Linked DNA regions of Drosophila melanogaster. The protein of the gene in region 2 interacts with the protein of the main gene of each other region in a pairwise test. Each region holds a gene or a part of one and is shown on either strand. Other genes may lie near its edges.

Evidence for each region.
Region 1: the proteins of CIAPIN1 (region 2) and Grx3 interact in a two-hybrid assay, tested with the Drosophila melanogaster proteins (one large-scale study listed by BioGRID).
Region 3: the proteins of CIAPIN1 (region 2) and CG13667 interact in a two-hybrid assay, tested with the Drosophila melanogaster proteins (one large-scale study listed by BioGRID).

What each region holds. Positions count from the first base shown.
Region 1 is NT_033779.5:13,363,912-13,368,851, forward strand, and holds Grx3 (glutaredoxin 3), read left to right. Parts: upstream 1-2,535; 5' UTR 2,536-2,619; coding exon 2,620-2,829; intron 2,830-2,893; coding exon 2,894-3,156; intron 3,157-3,219; coding exon 3,220-3,397; 3' UTR 3,398-3,499; downstream 3,500-4,940. Other genes in the region: Nnp-1, read right to left, coding at 102-2,165; Tap42 (Two A-associated protein of 42kDa), read left to right, coding at 3,813-3,935, 4,006-4,940.
Region 2 is NT_033779.5:15,035,334-15,041,524, forward strand, and holds CIAPIN1 (cytokine induced apoptosis inhibitor 1), read right to left. Parts: upstream 3,529-6,191; 5' UTR 3,443-3,528; coding exon 3,307-3,442; intron 3,218-3,306; coding exon 2,721-3,217; intron 2,653-2,720; coding exon 2,539-2,652; 3' UTR 2,396-2,538; coding exon of another isoform or gene 1,718-2,395; 3' UTR 1,659-1,717; coding exon of another isoform or gene 1,253-1,658; 3' UTR 1,242-1,252; intron 1,188-1,241; 3' UTR 960-1,187; downstream 1-959. Other genes in the region: yellow-c, read left to right, coding at 231-463, 1,253-1,658, 1,718-2,395; Su(H) (suppressor of hairless), read left to right, coding at 4,604-4,987, 5,762-6,191. UniProt on the Drosophila melanogaster protein: Component of the cytosolic iron-sulfur (Fe-S) protein assembly (CIA) machinery. Required for the maturation of extramitochondrial Fe-S proteins.
Region 3 is NT_037436.4:8,402,886-8,408,795, reverse strand, and holds CG13667 (uncharacterized protein), read right to left. Parts: upstream 3,343-5,910; 5' UTR 3,315-3,342; exon of another isoform or gene 3,260-3,314; 5' UTR 3,257-3,259; coding exon 1,508-3,256; 3' UTR 1,442-1,507; downstream 1-1,441. Other genes in the region: Oseg1 (outer segment 1), read left to right, coding at 1-84, 138-285, 343-543, 605-725, 784-940, 997-1,274, 1,330-1,425; Tpt (tRNA 2'-phosphotransferase), read left to right, coding at 3,599-4,237; mkg-p (monkey king protein), read left to right, coding at 4,288-4,693, 4,746-5,910.

The sequences.
Region 1 (4,940 bases), 1.7 Mb from region 2:
ATGCGAAGCGCTCCCCCTTCTTCATCGTCCCTCAGAGCACTAAGTCCAAATTAATCTTCCTCATCCTGTCCCAATCCCAGTCGCTGCCACTAGACGCTTTGTCACAGAGTGTCGTTGAACAAGCGCTTGGCCTTGTAGCTCGGATGAATCGGTCCCGGTATCCAGTGTGGCTTAAGGGCACTCTTACCGGGCAACCGATTCGCGTCGTAGGGCACCTGCGGAGACAGCTTCAGCTGGCGGTAGTAATCGCTCTTGGGGTAGATGCAGTTGCTCTTAGTCACGATCCGCACATGCTTGCCACTGCCCGTTTGTGGAGTCGCAAACTCTGCGCGCGCAGGCTGTTTGGGTGTGGACTGCGGCAGCTTACTGTTGGCCTGCTTCACTTGCAGTTTTCGAGAGGGAACAAAGATGTCCTGCTCACCGTCCTCTAAAGGGGCATCCCATCCGTTGGTCGGAGCATCATCATCAACACCGGCAGCCTTCGTTTTGGGAGTCGGCTTGGCCTTGGACTGTCCCTCCACCTTAGGTGTGGGCTTGGGCTGCTCGTCTGTCTTCGGCTTCGACTGCTCCTCCTTCGTCTTGGAGTGGTCCAATTTCTTGCGCTTCGCAGGCTCTTCTTTTTCTGCCTTCAAGGTCGGTTGATCCTCTATCTTGGGCTTGGACTGGTCATTCTTCGGCTTAAGCTGGCTTTTCTTCTTCACCTTCGTCTGGTCATCTTTGTTCTGCTGTGGCGGTTCTTCCTTTTTTGCTTTCTTCGACTTGGGCTCGGCCTCCTTGACCTCCTCTACTACCCATGCGTTGTTTATGCTAGAACGCACCTTTGCATTGTAATTCACCTTCTTCTGCAGCTCAGGAGGCAGAGCCTTGCTAATAACCTCATCGTAGTTGTGCTCGTCCACCTCCTCAAAGTTAATGGACTGCAGTAGGCGTTTGCGTTTGGATTTGTTGAGCTTCTTCAGTTTTCTTCCGGTTGCAAAGACCTCGTCCTCCATCTTATCTAAGGCAGCCACTTTTTGCTCCACCATTTCGGACAGAGTTTGTCCCTCCACCTTTGGCATTGTCCTCACGCCAAGTGGAAACTCTCCTCTCTGGTAAGTCTCAAAGATCTGGATAAGTTTGCGCAATCCCTTGCGTCTCTTGCTGTTAAAATCGTTGGTGCGTAGCTGCGTCTGCAGCTCATCTAGTACGCAATCAGCGTTGAGCGGCAGCTCCGGCATGTGAACGTCCACGTTGCCCGCTCGGGGATCCAAGGATGTGGCCCGCGGCTGCTCCTCCTCGGCGTTGACCTCGTCATCCTCCTCGTCAAATCCAGAATCTAGTTTCTCAATGTCATCAATGGAGGCGGTGGGGAAACCCATCTGCTTCCAGGCATTGTACTTTTCGCTGTACTGTCGTCCTAAGTCGCTCTGGTACATCAGATGATAGAGTACCCTTGTGCGGCACTGTGCCACTAGCTTAGCATCGCGTTGTGTAGCAATGTAGGTGACAAACGGACGCAAGAACATATTAACCTGAGCAGCAGTGATCTCACCATTGGCCGCCTTGGCCAGCTCCTCAAAGAAAACATCTAGGTAGTGCATGGTCATGCCGCGAGACTTAGGCTGCTCCGACATCACAGAAAGCTGCATGCTGCTGTTGAATGCGGCTATCAGGTCCGCATTCCAGTTGTTCTGTTTGAGGAATCTCAGTAGATAACGCACCATGCGGCGGGTGAGCATCAGGAATTTGTCCATGCGCCACTGATCTATGCCAAAGTACTCCTGGCACATTGTGCGCATAAACGCACTAAAGTAGGCCAGACTGCAGGCCGTATTACCGCCGAAGCTGTCCACCATTTGAGCCAACTTCTCGGCCAGCTCCTCCTGCACCAGCGGCTTATCCGACATCCACATGGTGTAGTACAATCCCTTCCAGATGCGCATGAAGTCGTCCTCGTTGAAGGGAAAGGAGCTACCGGCACGCGCCTTGAACCACTTGCGCAAAATGCGGATCTGGCGATTACGCTCCACCACATCGTTGCAGGCAAGAGCACGTATAATTTTCACCTCCTGGGCGACCACCATCAGCTCCTTGGCCACCTTCGGCTGTGAAGCGTCCTCCTCCTGCTCGACCTGGATTTCGGCCGCCTCGGCGTTGCGCTTAACTGGCTTCTTGCGCGTCACCATTATCCGGCTAATTCAACTTTTAGTTGCGAAAAATAAGTGAGCTGTGTATATTGAATACGGTACGGCACGACCGCACGTGTTGCCGTTCGATGTTGCCAGATGTTGAAACGACATTTTCTCCAAATTTCGTCCAACAGCTCTAAATGCATGAGCTGTACTGAAAATGACAACAAAAACTCAAGCTAATGAAATAATTTTCAAAGAATAAAATAAAGAAAAAAAGAATAATAAAAAGAATATTTAAATTGCTAGTTTTGATACTTCATGAAACGCTTGCTTTATACATTTTAATACAATTTTATATATTTTTAGCCATTTATAGGTTGTTATTTTATAGCTACCAGCGCTGACTTCTTTACGGAAAGTGGCAACTCTCTTCCACAGCTGATAATTCGGTCTGCTTTTTGTAAATTTTGCTTGTCCAGCAAATTTAGTTAAATAATTCAAAGAAATCATGCCCGTGGTGAACGTGTCGGCTGCCGAGGAGTACCAGAAGTACATTAATGCGGATAAGACGACCGTAGCTCTATTCGCCGCCGAATGGGCAGAGCAATGCGGTCAGGTGAAAGACGCGCTGGAGGAGCTGGCCAAGATTACTGGCGAAAAACTGCAGTTCATCAGCCTAAACGCTGAACAATTTCCCGAGATTTCCATGAAACATCAGGTACGCTCGTATTTATTTTATGAAAATATAACAGTAGTTCCTCATTCATTTGCGATGCCACCAGATCGAGGCCGTGCCCACAGTCATATTCTTCGCCAAGGGCTCCGCCGTTGACCGTGTCGATGGTGTAGACATCGCCGCCATAAGCGCCAAATCCAAAAAGTTGGCCGAAAACGCAAGCAGCGCGGCGGCAACAGGACAAACGTTGGAGGAACGCCTAAAGGCCCTAATCAATACAGCTCCGCTGATGATATTCATGAAGGGCGACCGAAATGGACCGCGTTGCGGATTCTCCAAGCAGCTCATCGGCATTGTGAACGAAACCAAGTATGCAAATTGATCATCAGTTGTATTTGATTTCAAGTTATAAACGAAAATATCCTTCGATAGCTTGCCGTACGAGACATTTGACATCCTCGGCGACGAAGAAGTGCGTCAAGGCCTGAAAACCTACTCCGACTGGCCCACATATCCCCAGGTTTACGTCAAGGGTGAACTTATCGGCGGACTCGATATTATTAAGGAACTGCTGGCGAACAATGAGCTCGAGTCCACGCTAAAGGGCTAATTCCATCGGATTGCATCTACTCCTACAGACACCATAAACCAGAAACAAATTTTTAGCTAGATCCTTAGACTTTTTAATGGTTTAATAAAGGATTTTTGCTACATTCTGGTATTATTTTATTCATCGAAATTTTTAATAACAATTGTATTAAAGCAAATGTGCTATAGGTCATCCATAAGACATCTTACACGGGCTTCAATGGTGTCACCATAAATGTTTACAAACTTAACGACATAAATATAGCTAGAAATTTGTAAGAACTTTTTTATACACCAGCCCTGGTTTATCTGGTATTTTGCGTACCTTCATTTTGTAAACAGCTGTTTCGGCGTCGGCATCTTGCACATTATTTTCGCAATATTATTTATATTATTGAAAATACCCATTAACTATAAACTTATATCCAAATCTTTAAATGGCTGAGGGTAATACCGCTGGCGGAGAGGACCAAAAGCTGACGGACATCTTTCTAAAGGGCTGGAACATATTCGACGAGCTAGAAGTTACCGAACTGCCCTTCAATGGCAGCGAATTTCAGGTGTGTAATATTGAAGATCTTCATATATATGTAATAAAAACCAGCATTGAACGTTTACCACAACGTTTAGAACAAAGTGAAGACTGCAATGGGCCTTTTCGAGCAGGCCACCGTCATTGTGAACCAGGTTAGCATGTTCAGTGCCAACGAGTTGATCGACGAGGTGTCCACGGAATCGCTACCATTCATGCTGCTCCCTTACTTTCTGGGCAAGCTTACCACTAAGATCAACAGCCCCAATAACACACACTCCATAGAGCTGGGCGAGATTTACTTCAAGGACCACCTGCAGCGTTGCCAGGAGTATGATCTCTGTGCAGCGCCCAAATCTCAGGTGGCTAAGGCGGATAGCCAAGCGGAAAAAAGCGAGCAGCGCGAGCTGGTAGAGGCAGCCTTCAATAGAAACGACAAAATAGCCCAGTATCGCCGGATGAAGGAGATTGACGAGTATATGGCCAGAATGCGCGATGCAGTCAAGAACAAAACGGTCGACGATGAGGATAAACGTGTCTTTTTCCTCAAGTATTTGGACAAGAGTATAATAGACTCCAAGCAGGAATTAGAAACATTGGGCGTAATGAAGCAGCTGGCCCAGATGCGCCTTGCCCGATTGGCTGGTGGCGAATCCGACAACGAAGTGGATTCGTTCCGTCCACCGAATCAAAATCAATCTTCTGCATCGTCCACCTCCCGCGGTCATGGTCACAGCCACGGACCCGGACACCACCACCATCATCAGCAGGCCGCTAAGCCAAAGCCCTTGCAGCCCTTCATCATAACACGTAATGCCACCCAGAAGGCGGTTTTCGGCTTGGGATACCCCAGTTTGCCCATTATGACTGTTGATGAATTCTACCAGCAGCGCGTCGACGAGGGCATCTTTCCTGATGAGGAGAAGGTTGCCAAGATGAATCAGGCACAGGCCATCGCGGCCGCCCGGGATCCCAACGAAAAAGAGGACGAGGAGAAGGCCGTTGAGGAGCTACAGGCGGAGCAGGATGATCC
Region 2 (6,191 bases):
TAACCATTAACTTGCAGCTGGGCACTTGGTATAACAGTTTATAACTCCACGGGATCGAATATCTGTGTACTGTGAGCTTAAAGCTCCGCTTGTTTGGGATCCAAGCCAGCATATTAAGCCCGATTCCAAACTAAGCTCTTGCAGTTAGCGCGCTCAACTCGAACTGAACGGAGGTCCAAAAAAAAAGAAACGAGCAATCCAAAAAAAATCGAATAATTGAAAAATCCAAAATGAACCCACTAGGAATGTTGAGCCTGGGCTTAATGGTGTGCCTTATCGGCGCCTTCAGCCGGATTGCATCGGCCAAGCTGGAGGAGAAGTTCTCGTGGAAGCAACTGGCCTTCGATTGGCCCACTCCGGAGGCCGAGGCGGAGGCCAAGTCGAATGGCCACTACATCGTGGAGAACAACCTGCCGCTGGGCGTGGAGCGTTGGCAAAACAGAATCTTTGTCACTGTGCCAAGGTAAGTAACCAAATTCATAGACAAAAAAAAAAGAGACAACAAACTTACGGTAAGCTGTAGTTAGGTTTTCTTTTTTTTTCTTATTATTTACCTTTTTTGTTGGCTTGGTTTGTAATTAAATGTCAAGCTAGACTTGCAAAATCATCGAGCGTCAGGAGGGGAAACCGGTTTCCTCGCTGGCTAGTTAACTTTATCATTTTTTACCCCATTTGTGTATGTCTATTTTGCATTTTAAATCGTGGTTTCTAAATGCAAATCGTAACATGAGGTTAATTATAAATTAATAAGAGAAAACACATGATCGGAAAATTCTATGGAATATTATGGATCCCATAAAAGGCTAACTAGGTAACTAGTAAACAAAGTCTTTGTGACGTCACCTTTTTGGGATTTACCACCGATGCGCTTATTGGCCAAAAAGCCCCGAAAACCATTCTGCTTTTCGGGAGATATGAGTAATCAAAACAAAATTCGATTTAAAAACATTTCGAAAAATAAGATACGTAAAAAAAGTATATTTTGTTGATAATACAGCATAATTATTTAAGCTATAGTTGCCGTCAAAGTTTTAACTGATAGTGCTAAGATATAAATTAAAACTATAGCTTATATTAGACTATATCCAATCAGTCATAATAATTGCGCAGGTGAATGGTACTTTTTAATGTTATTAATTTGTTACTTGCCAGTGTCAGGTTTAAATGTAATTAGTAACTAAACAAGTCTGAAATGTAAATTTTTTAGTTAATTTATTTCTCCTCATTATTAAATGATCTACTTTCCCTTTAGATGGAAGGCTGGTGTTGCTGCCACACTCAACTACATCGACATTAATTCGACGGAGAAGTCGCCAAAGCTGCATCCGTATCCCAGTTGGGAGGCCAACAAGCTGCCCATCGATGTGCAGCCACAGGACCAAAAGACACCATCCGGTGGACGTCTGGACGCGGACAAGGCTCAAGATGCCGGCATCCAGCTGAAGGACAACTCCACTGTCATTTCCACCTTCCGAATTCAAGTCGACGTATGCGATCGCCTGTGGGTGCTCGATACTGGCTTGGCCGACATCCTGGGCAGTCCCAAGCAGATTACGCCCAATTCAATCCTGGTTTTCGACTTGAAAACAGATACTTTACTGCGCCGTTTCACCATTCCCGCTGATCAGACCAAAGAGGACTCGTTCTTTGCGAATATTGTGAGTATGCATAGGCGTATTATTTAAATTCCAAACTGATCGAATTAATCAATATTTAGGTTGTGGATGCGGACCGCTCGGAGTGCCAAGATGCCTTTGCTTACATTCCGGATTTGGGTGCCTACGGTGTGATTGTGTACTCCCTGAGGAACGACAAATCCTACCGCGTCAAGCACAACTTCTTCCACTTCGATCCTCTGCATGGTGATTTCAATGTGGGCGGCGTGAACTTCCAGTGGACGGATGGCGTTTTTGGGCTGGCCGTGGGCCCAATGAATCCAGATCACTCCAAGGACATTTATTTCCATGCCCTGGCCAGTACCAAGGAGTTCAAGGTTTCGAACCGCGTGCTGCAAAACGAATCACACGTGACCGCTGGCGATTCGTATTACGATTTTAAATACGTTGGTGACCGTGGCATGAATGGCCAGTCCACCGCCGAGGTCTTTGACCCCGAGACCGGCGTCATCTTCTATACGCAGGTGAACAAAGACGCCATTGCTTGTTGGAACATCAAGCGTCCATACACTCCGGACACCCAGGGGCTAATCGATTCCGATTCGCACACTCTGGTCTTTCCAAATGACATGAAAATCGACAATGAAGGCACTATTTGGGTGCTGTCCGACAAGATGCCGACATATTTGTACAAGGAACTCGATCCCTCGGCCGTCAACTATCGTATTTTGATGGGCCAGAACCGCGATCTCATCAAGGGTACACCATGCGAAATGTGATCACTTGGATATTTAAATCTACATGCTGTGTTTATGACGCGGTGCATTTTTGTATTTACATTATGACATTATTGTTTGTTAGTAAGTCAGCTTAATAAACTATTTGAAATGTGATTGATTGGGTATACCATGGTGAGCCTAAGTTAAATGTCGGATTTCAGGAGGTTGTCGGCCAGTTGCACCTTCTCACCGGGCTTAAAGGCGGGCATGCCCAAATAGGGGCAAGTGGAGCAGCGGAAGGCGTCGCCGAGATAACACTGTGCATATAAGAAATCAGTTATAATCGAGGTTAATGCTAACTCACATCGGGGTTAAGAGAACTCACATTTCCACAGCTTGACTTGGCATTCTCGGTGGCCTTCTGGCTCTGTTTTTCAGTCTCCAATTCCTCGGCCAGCCCGCAGGAGCAGTTTTTGCACGCCTTGCGCTTGCCCGTGGTGCTACAGACACGCAGACCAGCCGGATCCGGCTTCTGTTTGTCTTCCTCGTCCAGCAGCTCCTCCTCATCGATCAGTTCCTCATCGTCACCGCTTATCTTCCACACATTGACTGCACTGGCGTTCTTCTTTGCGAATGACAACCTGGCTGAGGATCCTGTCTCGTAGCCAGGCTTCTCGGCGGTCAAAGCATCTGGAGAGTCCTCGCGACAGTTTATGAATCCGGATAGCTTGATCTCCTGCAGCAAACTAGCCGCCGGACCGATGTAGGACACCAAATGCAGTTTGCCACTCGGTTTCAGCATGTGCAGCAGTTTTACGTAACTGTCGGTCAGCTGGGCGCACTCGATCACAATCAGGTCGAAACTGGAGTTGGCATAGGAAGCTGTAATGCATAAACATCACTGATTTTAATCTGCTGACTCACTGGCTAGTCAAAAACAGCACACACACACCGCACCGCACGCAACTTACAAAACGAAAGGCGGTGCACATTTTCCAAAGCCACATCGCCGCCAGTGGCCGCCTTTAGTTGCTCCACGCGCTTGTCCAAGTCGGCGCTGTCCGTCCATATGTATAGGGATTTTTGTAGACCCTTAAAGTTCTCCATTGTGGATGTGTTTCTAGAATATCTCAAAAGTTCAAGCACCGAACGGAACCGATTTTTGATTTCACAAGTTAGATATGGCAATGCACCGAAAATCGAGCGGTGATATCGATTGTACCTGCCTATCGGATTGCAAATGATATTCAGTGATTGTAGATTTTTCCACTTTACACTGTGACTGCTAAAATATATGAATAACTAAGTGTACTCCACCAGATTCGTTTTTTAATGAGTTACAGCTTACATTCTGATACATAATTAACAGCTTTTAGTTGCATATTGTGTGTTTCTGCCACTAAACCTATTTAAACGGTTACATTTAAGCCTAAAGTCGCGAATTATCTTTTAAATTCACCCATGTGTACTTTCCCACGGCCCGTTTTAAAAATGCATGGACAGTTAGACAAGAAGGTTGGTAGTTTGTACCTTGAATTTTAAATGTGGGCGCTCAAAATCGAAGTGTTCAATGAAAATCGATACCTTTCGCATCAGTTAAAAGTATTTATAGATATAAGAAATAATATCTTTAACAGTGATGTGATGGGAATAAATATACAAATGTATTCAGAAACTGCAAAGTTAAAACAAAATATATTAGCTACTCCAAATTGGCTATAAAATAACCAAATGCCCACTGCCATCCAAATCCAACCAACAGTGCTGTGAAGCGACAAACATATCGCCGGTAGGCAGCGACTATCATAAATAAGCGCCTATCGGACTATCGATACAACATCAACATCCTCAGTCGCTTTTTTAGTTGTAGCATATTATAAATATAACTCGAGCGCTAGTTGCAGCCTTAAACAGAAGCCAGCCGCCACTACCGCTAGTCGCTAGTCAAGATCTGCTCGAAACGCTGAAATATGTGTGATTAGTCGTGAATCGCAGCTAGCCGCAAATCCAGCTTGAGCTACAACAACAAAGCCAATCCGCGGTTAAGAGGAAGAGAGTGCGTGAGAGAAACGACAGCTGCTCTGCGTGTGTGTTTGTGCAGCAGGATAACAAAATAGAAAACATACAGCAGCAACAACAACAACAAAAACAGCACCAGCGAACAGTGTATAAAGTGCCAAACGAATTTGCCAAATAGCCAAAAACGAAATAATAGAAAAGATCCAAACAAAATTCCAATAAGTTCAATGCAAGGAGACATGTGCATAAATGAAGAGCTACAGCCAATTTAATTTAAACGCCGCCGCCCCGCCCGCCATTGCCTACGAAACTACGGTTGTAAATCCCAACGGCTCACCCCTCGATCCTCACCAGCAGCAGCAACAACAGAGCCAGGATATGCCGCACTTTGGACTGCCCGGTCCGCAGCCGCCGTCGTCGCAGCAGCAGCAACAACAATTGCAAGTGCACCACCAACAGCAGCAGCAGCAGCAACAACAACAACAACAACAGCAGCATCAACAACAAATGCAGATGTCCTTGCTGCCGGGTCCTTACCGGCCACACATCGAGGAGAAGAAGCTCACGCGGGACGCCATGGAGAAGTACATGCGCGAGCGCAACGACATGGTCATCGTTATCCTGCACGCCAAGGTACGAAAGGATTTCCACTTTTAAGCCGGTATTATCAGGTGCTTGGTCTGGATTTAGTATTCAAGATATTCTAAAACATACAAGGGAACTCCTGAGTCTTAAGTCTTAATTAAATTATTTGAAGCTTGAAATACATTATTTCAATATTACTAAAAATATATTAACCCAAACTGGAGAAACGTAGGATATCCTAACTTTCATTTAAATTAGAAACTTGGTCAGTTTTGTACGTCGATTTCCTAAATTATTCGATTTTTTAGATTAAATAGATTAAATTCAGATTTTCTTTCTATTTCAAGTTTAACGATGTATCCTTTCTTTGAAAATTACTTGTATGCTTTACAAGATATTTATTTTTTTTTTATAATTTAGTTTTAATCTAATCGGTCAGTCCGCAACGCCAAAACCACACCCACTATTTAAAGGTGCTAGTGTTTCCATTGTCCACTTTAAAGTGTTACATTTTTGCGGTTTTTGGCGAACGCAGACATGAAAATGGAATAAAATTGTCGCGGTTGCTTTTAGCGGTGGCGATCTTCAAGCGACGACTGCCGCCAAATGGGAATCCTTCACACTCGACTGCCCGCAAATTGAGCAACGCGAGCGCGGTCCAGTCCGCAATGAAAATAATTGAAATTAATTACAGAAAATTAACAAAGCTGCATTGCTTGCGGTTTTGATATGATTTTCCGATAATCTGGACGGCAATTTGTACTAATTGAATTTTCCCTGCACCATCGTGCGCCTCTGTCTGTCTGTCTGTGTGAATTCCAGGTGGCCCAAAAGTCCTATGGCAATGAGAAGCGATTCTTTTGCCCACCGCCGTGCATTTATCTGTTCGGAAGTGGCTGGCGCCGGCGGTACGAGGAGATGTTGCAGCAGGGCGAGGGCGAACAGGGAGCACAACTATGCGCGTTCATCGGTATCGGGAGCAGTGACCAGGATATGCAGCAGCTGGATCTCAATGGCAAGCAGTACTGTGCGGCCAAGACGCTCTTCATCTCGGACTCGGACAAGCGAAAACACTTTATGCTGTCGGTGAAGATGTTTTACGGAAACGGTCATGACATTGGCGTTTTTAACTCGAAACGGATCAAGGTTATATCCAAGCCGTCCAAAAAGAAACAGTCGCTAAAGAATGCCGATCTGTGCATAGCCAGCGGCACCAATGTAGCCCTGTTCAATCGCCTGCGTTCCCAGACTG
Region 3 (5,910 bases), on a different chromosome or scaffold from region 2:
CGCTGCCGGAACTTCTGCCCACGGTGCACTACCAGCATGGGCAATGGCTGGCCGAAACGGATCAGTTTATAGAGGCGCATCAGGGTGAGTTTATAACTTTTGTTATGTTTATTTAATATAAAAGTTTTACTTTTCAGCCTACATAAAGGCAGGACGCACCAAGGAAGCCAATCGTTTGCTTAAGCAACTGAGCAATACGGCCATCGTGGAGGAGCGCTACTTGGATGCGAGCTACTTTTATTGGCTGCTGGCCAAGCAACATTTAGATGTATATCACGCCAAGGAGTAAGTGAAATATTACAATCAGTGCACTTCTTAATTTCTAAAACTTTTGTTTTATAGAGAACAAAATCCTGTTGATCACCACCTTACGGAGTACAAAAATCATTTACGTGTTGCCAAGGTTTATTACGCCTACAGTGTCATATACTCATATATGAAAGAACCATTCACCACACATTCCCCAGTTAGCCTATTTAACGTAAGCCGCTTTATACTAAACGAAGTGGAGCACAAAGGTGTCCCCAAAGGTGTCAGCATGTTGTAAGTTAAGAGCTCAAATCGCAAAAGTAGAACGTGAATCGACAGAAATCCTATCTTCCAGTTCGGTTCTCTTCACTCTGGCCAAGCAAGCTAAGTTTTTGCAGGCCAACAAGTTATGCCTTCTTATTAACAAGAGACTGCAGTCGTTGAAGCCACCAGCTGGAGTCCAAGAGCAGATTGATGTGAGTGATGTGAAAACATTAATCATCCAAATGATATGCTTATGAAGTACCTTTTCAGCTAAATTTTCTAAATAGCAAGGCTTGCAAAAGTGGCTTCAATGATCCGGAGGAGCTTTTGCCACTATGTTACAAGTGCTCCAACTACAGTCAACATTTGAATAGCAATTGCTGTCCCACTTGCCGGCAGGATTATATTTTCTCTTTCGTTTCCTTCGGTATGGAATTTTGTCTATTAGCTTAGATATCTGATAATGATGATGCCTCTTTTTAGAAATTCTACCCCTAGTACAATTTTATCCAGAAGTGGATATCTCTGATGCCGAGGCGGAGCGCTTGCTGCTGGCTCCTGCAAAGCACGCCGAGGATTCGGATCCATTTAACGAGGATGTGGCCAGTGCATTGCCTTTGAGCTTGGATCGCAATGGCCTGCGTGCCATAGATCCCAATCATGTGCTGATTCTTAAACGGAGGGGAAAGAATGTGCGGAATGTGTACTATCGTAATATATTACCCGATCTTCAGGTTACCTATTGTCCTCAATGTCTGCTGGTAAGGTTATACAAACCACATCATTTCATTTCGTATATTAAGTAACCCTTTTTAGCTTTTCTATGCGGAGGACTTTGAGCTGCAAGTGCTGCAAAAAGGTCACTGTCCCTTTTGTCACACATCCTCCGAAAAGCTGATGGAAGACTTTTGAAATCGACATAAGAAGTGTGTGCAAATATATAATTTCCGTCCAAAACTGTACAAATAGGAACTATACGCAAATAAATACGGTGTTACGCCCAGGTTTCCTCCTGATATCGTCGCTGTTTTATCATTAGTTCCACGTAATCGGCATCGCCATCTAGTATCTCGATAAAGGCCTCTTTGACAGACTTTGGCATATTATTGGAGTTGCCAGCCACGTAGATATAGGCATTCAGGTCTTTTATAAGCCTCGCCAGATGAGCACCATTCTTGGCGATTAAATGCTGGACATAGACCTTCTGATCCTGATCCCTCGAGAAGGCAGTATGGGCCTCTACCTGTTTCGCATCGGTCCAGGTGGAGAAGTCATTTCCAAAGTGGAAATCGGCAGCTTTGTTCCGACAGCCAAAGAAAACAACCAAGGGACCAATTGTGGCACCTTTTGATTGAGCATACAATCGGTTTTGGATAATGCTACGGAATGGAGCGATGCCTGTGCCAGGTCCTACCATTATAAGTGGTATACTTAAGTCTTTTGGCCAGACCATGGTTCCTCTTTTGACAACTCCGCTCAACTCAGTACCCGATTTCAAAGTCTTCAGCCAGTTGGAGCATAAGCCCAGACGTGGAGTATGCATTATGGTTTTGTACTCCACAACGGCCACCAGCAAGTCCAAACTTAAGGCGGAAACATCCGAGGCAATGGAAAAACTGCGTGGCTGGATCAGTGGCATCATCTCAAAGAGCTGTTGCAGAGTTAAGCTAGAGGTGGCGTGCCGGAAATCCTCCAGAACCTCCAAAAGATTACGACGCGGCCTGTTCACATAAGCCACTAAGTCATCAATTCCCTCCGCGGAGGAGAATTCGAGCAGCTTTTCCTTTTCCATTTCATCGCAGCAATTCTGTGCTAGTACCTCGAGGAAACGTTGCCGTGGCTTAGCACTCAAGTCCCAAACGAATTTGGCGGCCTGGAGGAGGCTTAAGGGATTGGAATAGGCTATGGGAAGGGGCATATCCTGATGTGCACTGGATACCTCCACTATAGTGCTCTCATCGAAGTTCAGGCTGTGTTCGCGAATAAGGTCGAAGAATGTTTGGACAGCTTCATCGCTGTTTTGCGGCTGAACATCGAGTACATCGCCGGGTTCCCAGCTAAGATCTTCAGTCTGACACTGCAGCCTTAGGAAGCGTACATCCTGAAAGTGATCCACCGCCGTTGTTCTTTGGTTATCCAGAATTTTGAAAGAGTGGGCAGTTTGTTTTTGGCTCCAGAGCAGATTGTCCATCGGAGCAATTTGGGAATCCTTAGGCAGCTCCTTTACTGACCACTTTACAGTAGTTTGGTGGCTGTTGCTAAGTTTACTTTCGTCAAGACCAGAGATGCCTTTCAGAGCTGTCCACAAATCCTTTGTCCAGCTAAGGGATACACCCAAATGCCCGTAGTCATGCTGATCATCACACAGACCCACTGGACACACGCTATTTGCTCCCAGATTCTGTAGTCTCTTGCTCAGTTTCTTGGCGGCATAGTTAAACTTCGGATAGCTGGAGTCCCCGAGTCCAAGGCACGCGAACTGCATGCCTTGCAAGGATTGGGCGGGTAAGCTGCGCTTCAGGAGAAATCGCCAGGCCAGCTTCATGTTATCCGGCTCCACTCCGTCACCCGTAGTGGCCACCACAAAGACCACGAGGCGCTCCTCAATAAGTTTGGTCATATCGTACTCGTCGAAAGGCAGCACGGGTCCTTGGAAGCCCAGTTGATGCGACTCCCGCCAGATCTGTTCCGCCACATCCTGGGCGGTGCCGGTTTGACTCCCGTAGAGCACTAACAGCCGCATTTTCTACAATTCAGAATTTTCGAATAAAATTTACTGATTACCGTATTTCATATGTTACAATTTGCGCATAACAGCCTGGTCCTCAAACTTAACAGCACGCTGTTACGCTGCACTGTTATGTTATAGAAACTACGGGTGCCGAAATACCAAAATAATTGAAATTGAAATTAGTATTTCATTCATTCGTTTCTAGTAGCGTTGTAGCTCTTCTTCTTTTTCTTCGAATAGTGATGAACCTAAAAACATCGATAGTCTTAAATGTCGATGCATCGCCACCTCTAATAGAAACGCAATTAAACATATTGCATTGTTTTGCGTAAATAAAAGTAAGTTTCGCAGGCAATGGCCTCGAATCAGCAAATCAATACGCAGCTAAGCAAAAAGCTATCCTGGCTGTTGCGGCACGGTGCGAAAACGGAGGGAATCACGATCCGTGCTGATGGATTTGTTAGCGTTCCCGATTTGCAGAAGCACCCACGCTACTTGTGCTTCACCTTAGAAAAACTGAAGGAGATTGCCGCCGCGGATGCCAAGCAACGATATACTCTTCGCTGGAATCCAGAACTCGGAGTCCATGAGATTCGCGCCAATCAGGGACACTCATTGGCGGTGCTGGAAGGCGAAGCTGGCGGTCTCGAGAATATTACCCATGTGAGCCAGGTACCCCTGGCAGTTCATGGCACCTATTACAGACATTGGGGGGCAATTAGAAGCCAAGGGCTAAGTAGGATGAACCGCAACCATGTGCACTTTGCATGCAGCGATGAGACCAATTCCACTCTGAGTGGATTCCGCAGCGATTGCCAGATTTTGATATATCTAAACGTGGAAAAGGTGCTGGCGGACGGCATACCCATCTATCGATCCAGCAATAATGTACTGCTCTGTCCGGGAATTGAAGGCTTCATACATAGTTCCTACTTTCAGCGTGTAGTGGACAAGAAAACGGGGCAACCCTTACAAATTGATCATTGTTATTGAATAGAATAAACCTGGCCGTTAAGCAGTAATTAAAACGATTTTTTACAGAAATGCCGGCCCCTGCCTCGGAATCAACTTCTCCGCCTGGGGATGGTGACGGTAATCTTGTGCTTTGCATGGTATGCGCTGCTCCCTTCCGGAGTATGCAGGATTGCCTTGCCCACGAGCTGATCAAGCACGCCAGCAAGCCACAAAAGCAACTGCGACAGCGATTGAACGCCATTACCAAGCTATTTAACAGCGCACAAAGCCAATCCGAGCGTCAAGAGCTGCGGGAGGCTCTCGAATGGTCCGAGTCCGGCGGGCACTTGTGCACCGTATTGAATTTCTTTGCTTGTGATCTCGAAAATATGAAAACCTGCTTCGGGCACGTCCGGAACTGCATAGAGAAGGAGATGAGGGGCAGGGTTAGGGTGTTCCCCTTTGGTTCACTGGTTACGGGTTTAGCACTGAAGGGTAAGTGATCACCAGTACAAGAAAAGCACATAATCCGAATCCTTTTCCGCAGAGAGCGACATCGATTTGTTTCTGGAGCCCAACGGCAACCAGCCACCATTGTTCCATAATCAGCTATACAACAAGACCTCACACTTTTTACGAAGATCCAAATGCTTTGCGGATGTCTTCACCATTCGTCATGCCAGCGTGCCCATCATTAGATGTAAGCATCAGCTCACCGGACTCAACATAGACATCAATATGTCAAATCCGAATAGCATATATAACTCCCGATTTGTGGGCGAACTGATGTTTCGCAATGAGCGGATACGCGAGCTCTGCCTGTTTTTGAAAATTTGGGCCAAGAAGCTAAAATTGATTAGTCATGGCGGCATGACAAGCTATTGCTTAATATCCTTGATCATCGTTAACTTGCAAGTGAATCGACTAGTGCCCTCCGTCAAAGAGCTCCAGTCACTCTGTCCACCGGTTATTTTGTCGGGCGTTAACTATGCCTACAGCCTGGACCTAACGCCGCCGATCCCAGCACGGCTCACCACGCTGGATTTACTTAAAAACTTCTTCATATACTACTGCACTGTCAACTTTGACAAAAGTGTATTGAGTCCGTTTCTGGGCGGCTGTGTGGACAAGGAGACAACACTGGGCATGCCGGGAGGTTTTCCCGAGTACGATGAGCAACAAAAGCTCGTGCATGATGCAATAGGTGCGCCGCCAGACGCTTTCCAGCTGGATAGGGCCATGTGCGTACAGGATCCCTTCGAGCTCAGTCGCAACGTGGCCAAATCAGTGTCCATTTCAAATTTATGTTACTTTAGACAATGCCTAGTCCTGGCAGCTCAAGCGTGCAGCGATCAGGAACTAACTTCGCAACCAGAGAAGCTATACGACTACCTATTATTTGGCCTGGCGGATAAGTTAGTAGCCGACAAAATAGTGGCAGATAAAAGATCAGAAAGGGCTACGCCGCGAAAGCAACAAAAAATTGAAAACGCCCATGTGCAACCGCCAATCGTCGATGAGACACAAGAAACAAAAGTCGCCGAAGTCGGAGTTTGTGGGACACCGCCCTTAGTGCGATCACACGTCATCACGCCCACCACAAACGATGTCAAATGCCTGCGCTCCATTGTGCTGGTCAAGAACACGGAGAACGATCAGAGCATATATTACTACTGGTTGATCTGCTACGTGGACACTATAAAGGATGTGCT